3 linked regions of the Drosophila melanogaster genome follow. The protein of the gene in region 3 interacts with the protein of the main gene of each other region in a pairwise test. Each region holds a gene or a part of one and is shown on either strand. Other genes may lie near its edges.

The links.
Region 1: the proteins of BCAS2 (region 3) and CG32655 interact in a two-hybrid assay, tested with the Drosophila melanogaster proteins (one large-scale study listed by BioGRID).
Region 2: the proteins of BCAS2 (region 3) and Elba2 interact in a two-hybrid assay, tested with the Drosophila melanogaster proteins (one large-scale study listed by BioGRID).

Annotation. Positions count from the first base shown.
Region 1 is NC_004354.4:12,233,998-12,237,698, reverse strand, and holds CG32655 (uncharacterized protein), read left to right. Parts: upstream 1-1,821; 5' UTR 1,822-1,969; coding exon 1,970-2,507; intron 2,508-2,573; coding exon 2,574-3,028; 3' UTR 3,029-3,137; downstream 3,138-3,701.
Region 2 is NT_033779.5:2,575,573-2,579,327, forward strand, and holds Elba2 (early boundary activity 2), read left to right. Parts: upstream 1-2,114; 5' UTR 2,115-2,290; coding exon 2,291-3,436; 3' UTR 3,437-3,607; downstream 3,608-3,755. Other genes in the region: insv (insensitive), read right to left, coding at 1-1,000, 1,065-1,073. UniProt on the Drosophila melanogaster protein: The heterotrimeric Elba complex is required for chromatin domain boundary function during early embryogenesis.
Region 3 is NT_033777.3:27,920,736-27,924,059, forward strand, and holds BCAS2 (BCAS2), read right to left. Parts: upstream 1,622-3,324; 5' UTR 1,539-1,621; coding exon 1,464-1,538; intron 1,397-1,463; coding exon 635-1,396; 3' UTR 548-634; downstream 1-547. Other genes in the region: CG12259 (uncharacterized protein), read right to left, coding at 1-259; RpL4 (ribosomal protein L4), read left to right, coding at 2,182-2,184, 2,390-2,570, 2,635-3,005.

The sequences.
Region 1 (3,701 bases), on a different chromosome or scaffold from region 3:
GGCTGTTAATGACGCAATTTCCGCAAACGCAAACGGAGGCCTTTGGCAACCTTTGAGGGTCAGTTGCTTTGGCCAACTTCTTGGTGTTGTTGGCCAAAGCTAATTAGCTTAGCGCGTTTAAATCGCTCGAGCATCGCTCATTTCTAAGGCATCTCTCTATATACTGCTTTATATAAACGGATATGTAACCCCGGAGAAATGGCTGTCGATAAATAAAATAAAAGGCGGGGAGGAGTGCCTCGTACAAGCCACAAAATACGAAAACAACAACTGGGATAACCCTTTTTTTTCCAACAGACAATTCCAAGCCATTACACTGAGAAATGTGACACAATTTGAATAACATTTAAAATATAAAATTGAGCATCAATTCGGTTTGGATTCCGGCTTTTTTCATCCTTGTCTTTATTTTGCTGATGGTTTTTGGACATACCAACCCAACTCCTTGAAGTGATGGATTTGCTGCCTGAAGAGAACATTTTCTTGGGCCTTTTCTTTCCATTCCCCATTTTTCCGGGCCGTCTCTTCGTTGTTGTTGTTTGTTTGTTTTATTTTTTGTTCCCCCGCCACGACTTTCTGTTCTTTTTCGTTTTTACTTTGTCTAAATTGCGTAAATTATTGGCATATGTTGTCTTCGAAGTCCTGTCGAGAGAGGCAATGAAACATTTTTAACCCTTTTCCTTGGAAATTGACAGGGGCGTAGGTTGGTGTGCGCTGCGAAAATGTCGATGTCGGCCTGGTATTTTTTATTCCATTTTGCCGTCTTTCTCTGGGATTCTCGGGTGCTCTCCCTAGTTTTTGATATCCCCCATAACCCCACATTTTGGGGCGCCTCTGTCTGGCTGCCAGTTGGCTGTCATTTATTCCCACTTCGGGTTCAGTTTCGGCTTCCACCAATTTTCTCCGGCTCCTCTCTCCCACTTTCTTTCTGTTTTTTTTTTTTTTTTATCATTTATGGCCGTCGTTCTTTGGCTTTTTATGTGCGCTATTTCGCGATGTAGAACAATAGCCGCCCGCCAGCTCATTCAACCCACTGCCAAAGTCGTGGATCCAGGATCCCAGGATCCTGAGTCCGGAATCCTACTGTTCCTGCTCCAGCTCCAACTTCATCTTCGTGTGCTTTTGTTACAGCAAAACGGGCAGGGTGAGCCACTACTGTCCTTCACTATCGCTCGTTGCGCCCTCGCGCTACTTTATTGTCTTGCCAAAAGAAATAGACTTTTAATATACTTGGCCATTCAGAGCACAAAACATGGAGCGAAGCTCCCAGGGAAAACTCCTTTTTCCCTCCTCAAAAAAAAAAGCAAAAAAAAACTGCCAGCAAACACACGGAAAATAGAGGAAAAAAGGACAAGTGTCTGGGAGTGTGGAAATATTAGGCGATTTTGCCAGTTCATTGACTTGCCACAACAATAGTTTGAAGTTTGTCTGCCAAAATATGAGATTCCGAATAAAATGGAACCAATCCCGGGATGGGGGATTCGAAGGCGAGCGACGGAAAACAGAAGCTAAAAAGTTTTTCACTTTAATAGTTCGACCAATTTGAGAGTGGCTAAAAGGCCAGGATAATGGCAGCACAGGGAGTGCAAATAAAATCGTACTCCGATTTATTTGTACTTTTTGTTGGGCGCAATTTCTGACTTGATCAATTTGAAACTTGGCCATTTTATAGCCATCATTTCGGATCAAAATAAAGCCATGTTAAATCTATTTTTTTTTTTTTTTTCAATATCTAAAACATGTTGGCCTTGATTTTAGTTGACTAGATTTCGAACATCCATCAGTTGATTATCTCAGTTTAAACACGACACAGTAACTGTGCACTACACAATAGAACAAAATTCCAAAATATTGTTGTTTCAGGTCTAGGAAATTCAAAATTTTTTTTTTGTTTTTGATAGAGCGACTGAGGATTCCCTACTCTAAGACAATTCCCAAGAGAACCTCAAGCTCAAATCTCAAATAAAATATGGCCGAGAAGAAATCCCAGGACAATAAGGATAATGTCAGTGGATCCCAGAATCGAACGAGCCGCGTGGAAGCCCATGTTCGCCAGCAAGAAGAGAATAATGCTATATTTGCTCGACTTTTTGCCAGTTTGGACGCTGAACATCGTAAATTGAAAGAACTTGAAGAGCGCAGATCGCAGCTAATTGAAGAAATGAAAAATTTGAGGTCTCTACTCTTTGTTGAGAATAAAAAACTTCGACAGACCGTTGCTCCCATTTCGGGTGGAAATCCATTACCAATTCCAGCTACCAGTGCTAGTTCCGTCGTGAAAAAGAGTTCGGAGAAACCTTCTGGCTCTAGGACCTCTCCCATTATCAAGTCAGCACGTTTGGAACGACGACCTTCCAATAAATCGGTTACAATTGCCGATCCACCAACACAAAGTTTAACGACTAGCGAAAGACCCAAGGCAAGTAGTTCACAAGGTTTAAAGAAAAAGGAAAATCGACGAAGTCTCGTTGTTCCAGCAAGGAAAAATAAACATAGAATAACTTTGGGTAATAAGCGGTTTCAGCTATTTCACATTCTAATTTAATCCAATCAAAACGGTATTAAATTTCTAGATAACTTATCAAATACCAGAGAGGACATGTTAGACGAGTTCGATGAATCCGCATTGGCAACTTCTGTGGGCTCCAATTTGCAGACTTTGGAGCAGCGAAGATCCAATTTAGAGGAACGAGAAGATATAGACGAAGTTTTGGTCTCGCTGTCAGCATTATTCACCTTTGTGGATTCTCAATTTACAGACCAGGCCATTTTACCAAGTACACCTGATACCGATGATTCCAAAACTGACGAAGTGATTCCCAATACCGATCAAGATCCAAGTTTTTATCTCCCAAGTGCCGATTCTTTGTTCAAGGACATACTGGGACCGAATTCGCCATCCTTAGAGGTGAAATTGCCAGAAGAATCACTTCAATTGCAACCAGCTGACATTGTCGAATGTTCAGCGAATGTGGCGGAAATCGTTGAAAATGAACACGAAACGGAAACGGAAACGGAAACTGATTAAAAGCCCCCTTTAAGGGTTTTTAAGACTAATCTAATGGTTAATTAAACTTGGAAGTGCAGCTATTTACTAGATCTGGCAACAATATTAAACAAATACACACATTGAAGCCAACTAGCCAGCCTTTTCATTGGGGGATCCACTGAAAGGCTTTTAGAAAACTCTGTTTAAAAATCCTATAGTTTTAAACTTTGAATAGCTGAATGGCTCACCGCATGACTACTTAGTTTTTCAGGGATCAAAGGCAAACAATTTTCCTGTTGATGCTATCAAAAATGTGGCAACATATTTACGTACAAGTGGAGGGCCTATTATTTTTGGGGTGGAAGAAAATCTGCACATGCTCATGGCATATTCGGTCGACTTTTCTCAGCATATCTTGTGCTTTATTTTTTGTTCGTTTTTTTTTTTGTTTCTTATTCAATTTGCCGACCCTTGGTCCCCTGTCTCAAATTGAAGTCCTGGGGGTCGAGGACACTCTCCACATCCATTTCAAAACAAATTAGTTGCCAACTGTCCGAAACAAATGTTGTCTAACGAGCAAAATCGAGTTGTCTCCCATTGCTATAAGAATACACATGAACTAGGTAGGTATACCATATACACATAAATATATATAATACAATATATATTTGGTATATATGTATGTACGGACATGTCCACTTCTTGGGAGTTT
Region 2 (3,755 bases), on a different chromosome or scaffold from region 3:
TGGCATTACACTTGTGCGTCACTGCGAATATGATGTCCTGGATCTTCCCAGGATCGAGCATTCGCTTGAGCGGCTTGTCCTGATCCTTGAAGGCGGGCGACGGCTTGCCCGTCATCGAATGGGTGGCCAGAGTTTCCCGGTCGAAGATCGTGACCAGTAGTTTCCGGGTGGCCAGCGAGCACACCGACCAGTTAATATTCTCGAAGACACTGGCGGGCACACAGGTGTTGTTCGGGCCAATGGACACCATCACGTTGTCCATGTTTTGCTGTTGGCCCTTGTTGAGATCGGTAAAACTGCCATTACGGGCTTTGACTTGGGGTTTGGCTGGTAGTTTTATGTTCTGCCGCGGGATTTCTTCCTGCAACTGAATCTCCTGCAGCTTGCGGCGTTTGATGAACTGTAGTGGAGTGTCGGCGGACTCGGAGGAACCATCCCTCTTTATGCCGTTGCTAATCCTGTACTGCTGCTGGGAATTGTGATGATTGCTCTGCTGATGATTCTCGTCGCCCAGGCAAATCTCCAGGCGATCTGAGTCCGCAGAGGTGCTCAGGCTGTTCAGACTCTCCGCCGCCAGGCGAATCTCAATGGCATCCGCATCGTCGGGTGCCGAGATGATCTTGTAGTCCAGAATCTGGGGATTCTGCGCGGGCGCACATATCTCTGAACTCGGTGGCGTGAGAATGTGGTGGCTCTGGACCGCGGGCGGCGTGGGTGGTCTACTTTCTGCCAGCAGGGAGGATGCCTGTTGCATCCTGGCGGAGGTGGCATGAATCTGGGATAGCAGATCCTTGTGCTGCTGCAGTTTGGCCTCCAAGTAGCGGACCTTATCGCGGAGCGCTCTGTTCTCGACCTCCACTTGCGGGTCCGGCGCGGAGATGCTGCGAAGCACCTCGAAGTCCACGCTAGAAGTCTGCGACCAGGCATTCAGAAACAAGGGCTTGCTCCTCCTTGCCTGCGAATCCTCGCGTGCAGTGGCGCTGACTATGCGCTGATATTGCTGCAATTCGATGGGAAAAACTCTTGATCAACATATTCGGTGGAGATATCCTGCAGCTACTCACGTTTTCCATGTTCAATCCTCAAAGGATCTGCGTCAACTGAAAATTGGCGGCAGAATGCGAAAAGTGGTTGCATTCCTACCTGCACGCACACATGCGCACGCATATACGGGGAAGAGAGCGCCTGCCTCTGCGTGTGTGTGAGTGTGCCCTCCAGGTAGCTGATATCCTATTCCTGTTTCTGTTTCAGGACCCCGTCTATTTCCCAACTAGTCCAAGTCCAGCTGTCTTTTCCTTTCTTCGCATGGGATTTGTTGTTTGCGCGGGAACCAGTATATGTATTATAATTATTATTATAAATAATTGCGAATAAAGCTGCTTTTGCTCTCTCTTTCATCGACAGGGTTGACACCTAGGGCTATGAAATAAAACTATCGGTTGCAAGTCACGAGGGTTTTAAATTTTTAAGTTCTCTCTATAAAGTTTTTTTCTTTTTCTTTTCAGAATATCCGTTTGGTTAAAATTCTGTATTCTGCACTTTGGCGAAGGTCAGAAAATAAGAGAAAAAAGTAAATGTAACAAAGGAATGTGTAAGAATTCTTTCCACAGTTCCAAGAACCAAAAAGGACAATAGTTGGGTTTTGTAAAAAAAAAACCGGTTTTCAGGACCCGGACTGCATATTATCCATTGCAATTTGAATGTATTGGGAACCCTTCCAATACATGAGATCCTTTTGGAATATAATTCTTCGCTCAAATGCTCTCTGATCGGAAAAAAAACACCCTTAAATTCCATTTTAGAAGGGATACCTATTTAAGGGTAAGTCTACTGGAATTCCGTCCATTGTAATGCATTTTGAATGAGCGGAAAATACACTCAAGGATATATGGTACTGCCTTTAAAATTTCAAGGCATAACTTTTTGAGTTAAAACATGTACGAGTATTTCGTATTTAAGACTAGCCTTCAGAAGCAAACGGTTTTTTAATCATGTTACTCCTATATTTCCATAAGAATTTAAGTAAAGCCTAAAGGCGAATATTTTAGACTCTACTTCCAATTATCGAATGCAAATTATCTTTATTCGGCGACCTTGGCAGCCCTGCAAGATTAAGATTTTCGGATTCTCAGGTATCTGGCGCAAGGAACAATAACTGTTAAGCCGGGCCATAAAACACCAATTTTTCCAACGAATAATACGCAAAATAAGCCAAGAAAGCCGACGCAGCTGCGTTTTTTGCCAGAAATAAACCTTTTTGCCTTTACCTGTTGCCAAAATCCGCGTGCAAATGGCCGGCGGATTTCGACCGTACGATCAGGACTCGTGTCCTAACCTTACAAATAGCGAGGCTCCGGAATTCAGCATGTCAGTCGTTTGCAAAACGGAGCCGCACTACTTTCATCCGCAGACTGCTATCCTGCCCAGCGTCCAGTACTCCCACCCATATCACCACTATCTGAGCCAGTTCGCCCCGAACTTCGTGCCCTACTACTACCGCCTGCTCTCGCGGCCCATAATGAAGCAGGAGGAGATGGACATCGAGAACTACATCAACTACGAGGTGGCCGCCCAGCAGACCATGATGCGCCAGCGGACCCTGAAGCCCCTGGGTCAGCTGCAGATCCAAATGCCGCCTCCCATAATAGTCAACCAGCCAGTTAAGCCAGTTCCCGTTAAGGCAGTGCCAGTCCGCCGAAGCTCTCCGCCCAAGCGACGCGTCATCAATGCCCAGTTGGTAGCGGTAGCCACCGCTTCCGGGGGCATTAAGAACATCGAACCGCGGGTGGAGCCACTGCCTCGCCTGGAGGAATCCTTTAAGCAGCAAGTGGCCAAAATCCAGAAGAGTCAGCACCACTACGAACAACTCTTTGGTCGTCTCACTTCCATGCTAAAGACCCTGAATCAGCGGTACGACAACGATGCCGAGGATGTGCCCGCGCCGCCCTCCAAGAGACCGCGCCACATGTCCACCAGTTCGTCGGAATCGCACATCCCAGATACTGCCTCTGAAAAGGACGAGAAAGACACTCTTGTGCAGTACCCGCACCGAGTGCAAAAGGAGGACGGCAGTGCGGTGTACGTACTGGGACCCAATGGCACCCAGATCACAGCCCATCAGTACGGTGAGGTCTTCTGGACCAACGCCCCGGTGGCCACGAGGTGTCTTCTTTGCGTTGTCTTCAGCAGCGATGAGTTGGCTACCCACACGCTGACCGGGAAGCCGTCGCCCGCATTCTACGGCCGCGAAAGACCCCCAAAGCTCCAGTTAGACCAACGCAAGGTGGACGACATCGTGGTCTGTGTGAGAAACCGGACGGGCGGCAAGGAACGGGTGATTCGGGCCACCATCACTACCAAGTGTGCGGATACCGCCAAGAAGTACAAGAGGCGGGCCAAGAAGGCCCAGAAGGTCGCCATCAAGGAGGAGTATTAGCATGGAGTGGACAACTATTGGCTAGATATAATCCAGCTATGATCAAGCTCTTCTCAACGACGCGCCACGAAAGGCGCAGAAAGACATTGTATATATTCGTAGTAGGTCCTGCTAAAAGTAAAAGTAAAGTTATATAATCTAGCTGTGATTGAATAAAGACAAGATGAAACCAATTCAAAACCTGAATAATATGGGAATAGGCAGAGTTACTTCACTTTTCTGTCCATTGCTAAAATTGTTCTTCGAGTGCAGAGTCAACAAAATTGGGTTTATTAACTCGATCGGGTGTTCTCATCAATCGCAGCCATTTGCACTTGAA
Region 3 (3,324 bases):
GCTTCTTCTCCCGTTCCCGCACTATATCCTCCTGCTTGGCCTTCATCTCGTCGAGGGTGACCAGACCAATGGTCGAGGACTTGAGCTGCTGCTCCACGGCATCGTAGTGGGTGGCAAACTTGTTCTCAATCTTGTCCAGCTTGAGCTCCTCCTCGATCTTCTTCTTGCGAAACTCGATCTCCTGCTGCTGGATCTCCCGCTTCTTCATCAGCTGGGCTGCACGGCCCGCCTCGCTGGCGGCACCTTTGTAGTGGGCCATCCTTAGTTGTTTCTGTATTTATTTATATTTTTTTTTATTTAATTCGTAAACGAAATTTGTAAACATCCAATTGGTGTGACCGTAGCAGAAACATTGAAAAATGCCATTCTTCGTATAAAAAATTTACAGCACAAAACACTACCTTACCAATTTGAAATAATAAAATATTTAATCTTGAAATTATTTAAAATTTACTAGCTGTCCATTCCCCTGATATAAGAGCAAAAAGAAGAGGATCACTATTTCTCTGCAACGATTTTGAAAAATAAAGATAAATCTTAGATTTTTAGCTGTTTTTTTTAATATCCTTTATATTTAGTTACAGTCGTAAGTTTTTCTTTAACTTGCTTCATGCTTTCGCTCAGTGTACTAAATCTACGTTGATCCATTGGAAGATTCCTCCTGTGCCTCGGATTTGTCCTCCTCCTTGCTGTCACCATCGGCATCTGTTCCATCATCGCCAGGTTGGCTTGGATCTGGATTGCTGGAGCTACTGCCGTTGCTCTCGGCCAAATCGTTCTGGTCGAAACCATTCGTGTATTCCGGCGTTGGAGCCGTGTCATTGGCGCTGGGCGGCGGGGTAATCTTCCGCAGCTGCTGACGGGCGGCATGGACGATCTTTTCCAGCTCGACGCACTCCGTCTCGATCTCGTAGTTCTTGGAGACCAGCAGCACCCAATGGGCTTCCAGGGAGCGCAGTCGCTCGCCGGCCTGCGTTTGCGCCTGCTTGCGCTGCCAGTTGACATCTTGAATGTCCTTCTTCAGCTGCTGCAGCTGGAGCTGCGCCTTCGCCTGCATGGCGGTGAAGACCTCCAGGTAGGACTTCCATGCCTCCGTGCCGTAGTCGAGCATTAGCTCCAGGTTGAGAGAGCGCACCCACTGGTGCTCCAGCTGGGCCATCGAGTTCTCAATGGCCTCCTGCCAGGCGGACACCTCCGACAATTTGCCCGATGGCGGCGGTGGCAGTTCGTAGCGCTTCATGGAGAGCGTCTCCATGGGCAGGCGGTTCTGGATGCGCTCGAACTCGTTGGCCATCAGCGGAGTCTCAAAGGGCGAGCTGGCGGGCAGTGGCAGATGGTCAAGGTAATTTTTTGTGGGCCTATAGCGCCGGCATTCCTCCTCCACCATGGCGAGAGCCTTTGGAAGAAGAAGATGCCATTTCAAAGTCAGTTTCAACGTGCAACATGGATATCCGTATATTTACCGATTCCCGGACGCCCACATCGTCATAGCCGTGATCTATGTAGGGCAGAGCATCCACAATAACTTCGCCAGCCATTATTTATTATTAATTTCTGTGTTTTGAGACTGTTTTTTCCGCAAGTAAACAAATACAATTGCCGCTTCGCACTAGTGTGGCACATTTAGCTACTTTATAGCTATATAAACGGATAACAGAATGCTGTTAATTAATAGCCATATATCTATTTAGTAAATTTTTTTGTTTTAACATGAACATTTAAGCAAAAAATAAGCGTTGTTTTCTCACCAATAAAAGTTGTGTAAGTTAGTTTTTAACGTATGTATGTATTATGTATTGTTTGATTATTTATTATGCGGTTAAATTACAACAATTGTATTCTTGTTCTTTAAAAACGCATTGCTAATTTATAAATTTAACTAAAATACGTTATTGATAAATTCGAATTTAGATTTGTAATATTATAGTTTAATTGCGAGAATATAAACAAAAACTTCTCTTACGAGAGAAAAAAAAAGCTAAAAGTGTTGGACAGCGTCCAATTAGCCCTGTAAGCTTGACACTTGCTGCTGTTAGCAAATGCAACCATGCGCCGTGGAACGCGATTGGCAGCCATTTCCGGCAGCTCTCTTTCTTTCTTCGTTCTTCTTAATAAAAAGAGGACGGTATCTGCGTTTGCAGAATATTTAGCACCTTTCATTGGGTTTGAAAATCAACGAAAATGGTGAGAAACGAAGCACAAGGCACTCCGCAACCGCAGCAGACCCCAAAACATTGGATTTAACACACGAAACGATGCGAAAATAGTGCAAAAGTGTCGCCCTAACCTCCACGTGTTTGGAATGTGCGGCGATGGCGAAATGCGCTTGTTGTGTTTTGTGATGTGAAATGATCAGTGAACTAAACCCGAATACCATGTGCACTTTCAGAGCTTAGGCAACGCCAGGCCATTGGTCTCCGTGTACACGGAAAAGAACGAGCCAGCCAAGGACAAGAACATATGCCTGCCGGCAGTGTTCAAGGCGCCCATTCGTCCGGATGTGGTCAACGAGGTTCACCAGCTGCTCCGCCGCAACAACCGACAGGCCTACGCCGTCAGCGAGCTGGCTGGTGAGTAAACTGTTTATAACTCCTCTTTTGTGTGAATCTAACCCGTTTGAATTCCTGTTTGCAGGTCACCAGACCTCCGCCGAGTCCTGGGGTACCGGACGTGCTGTGGCCCGTATTCCCCGTGTGCGTGGTGGCGGTACCCACCGTTCCGGCCAGGGAGCCTTCGGCAACATGTGCCGTGGTGGACGCATGTTCGCCCCCACCAAGACGTTCCGTCGCTGGCACCGCAAGGTGAATGTCAACCAGCGTCGCTACGCCCTGGTGTCGGCCATCGCCGCCTCAGGAGTGCCAGCTCTGGTCCAGTCCAAGGGACATGTCATCGACGGCGTCTCCGAGTTCCCGCTGGTCGTGTCCGATGAGGTGCAAAAGGTCCAGAAGACCAAGCAGGCTGTCATCTTCCTGCGTCGCCTGAAGATCTGGGCTGACATCCAGAAGGTGGGTAACTTTGTACACCTATGAAGAACTTAATCCGAAGAATGTTAGGTCACTTAACTGTGCGTCTATTCAACTTCAACGTATTTATTTAACAAAACGTGAAGTTGTGATGTTTTAATTGCAAAGTTATAACTTTTTATTGGATTCCTACTTTTCGGATGCTTTCTAAATCTTACTTGGCAGCGTGCAAGCAACTGGCTACTCTTCTGGTTGTCCGATGCTTGCAGGGATCTCCTGCGTTGCCAGATAAAATGCTCTTCTTGGCGTTACGATTGAAACTTGATTCACGGCTTCCATCGTGGTAACGGAAGAGCAACAG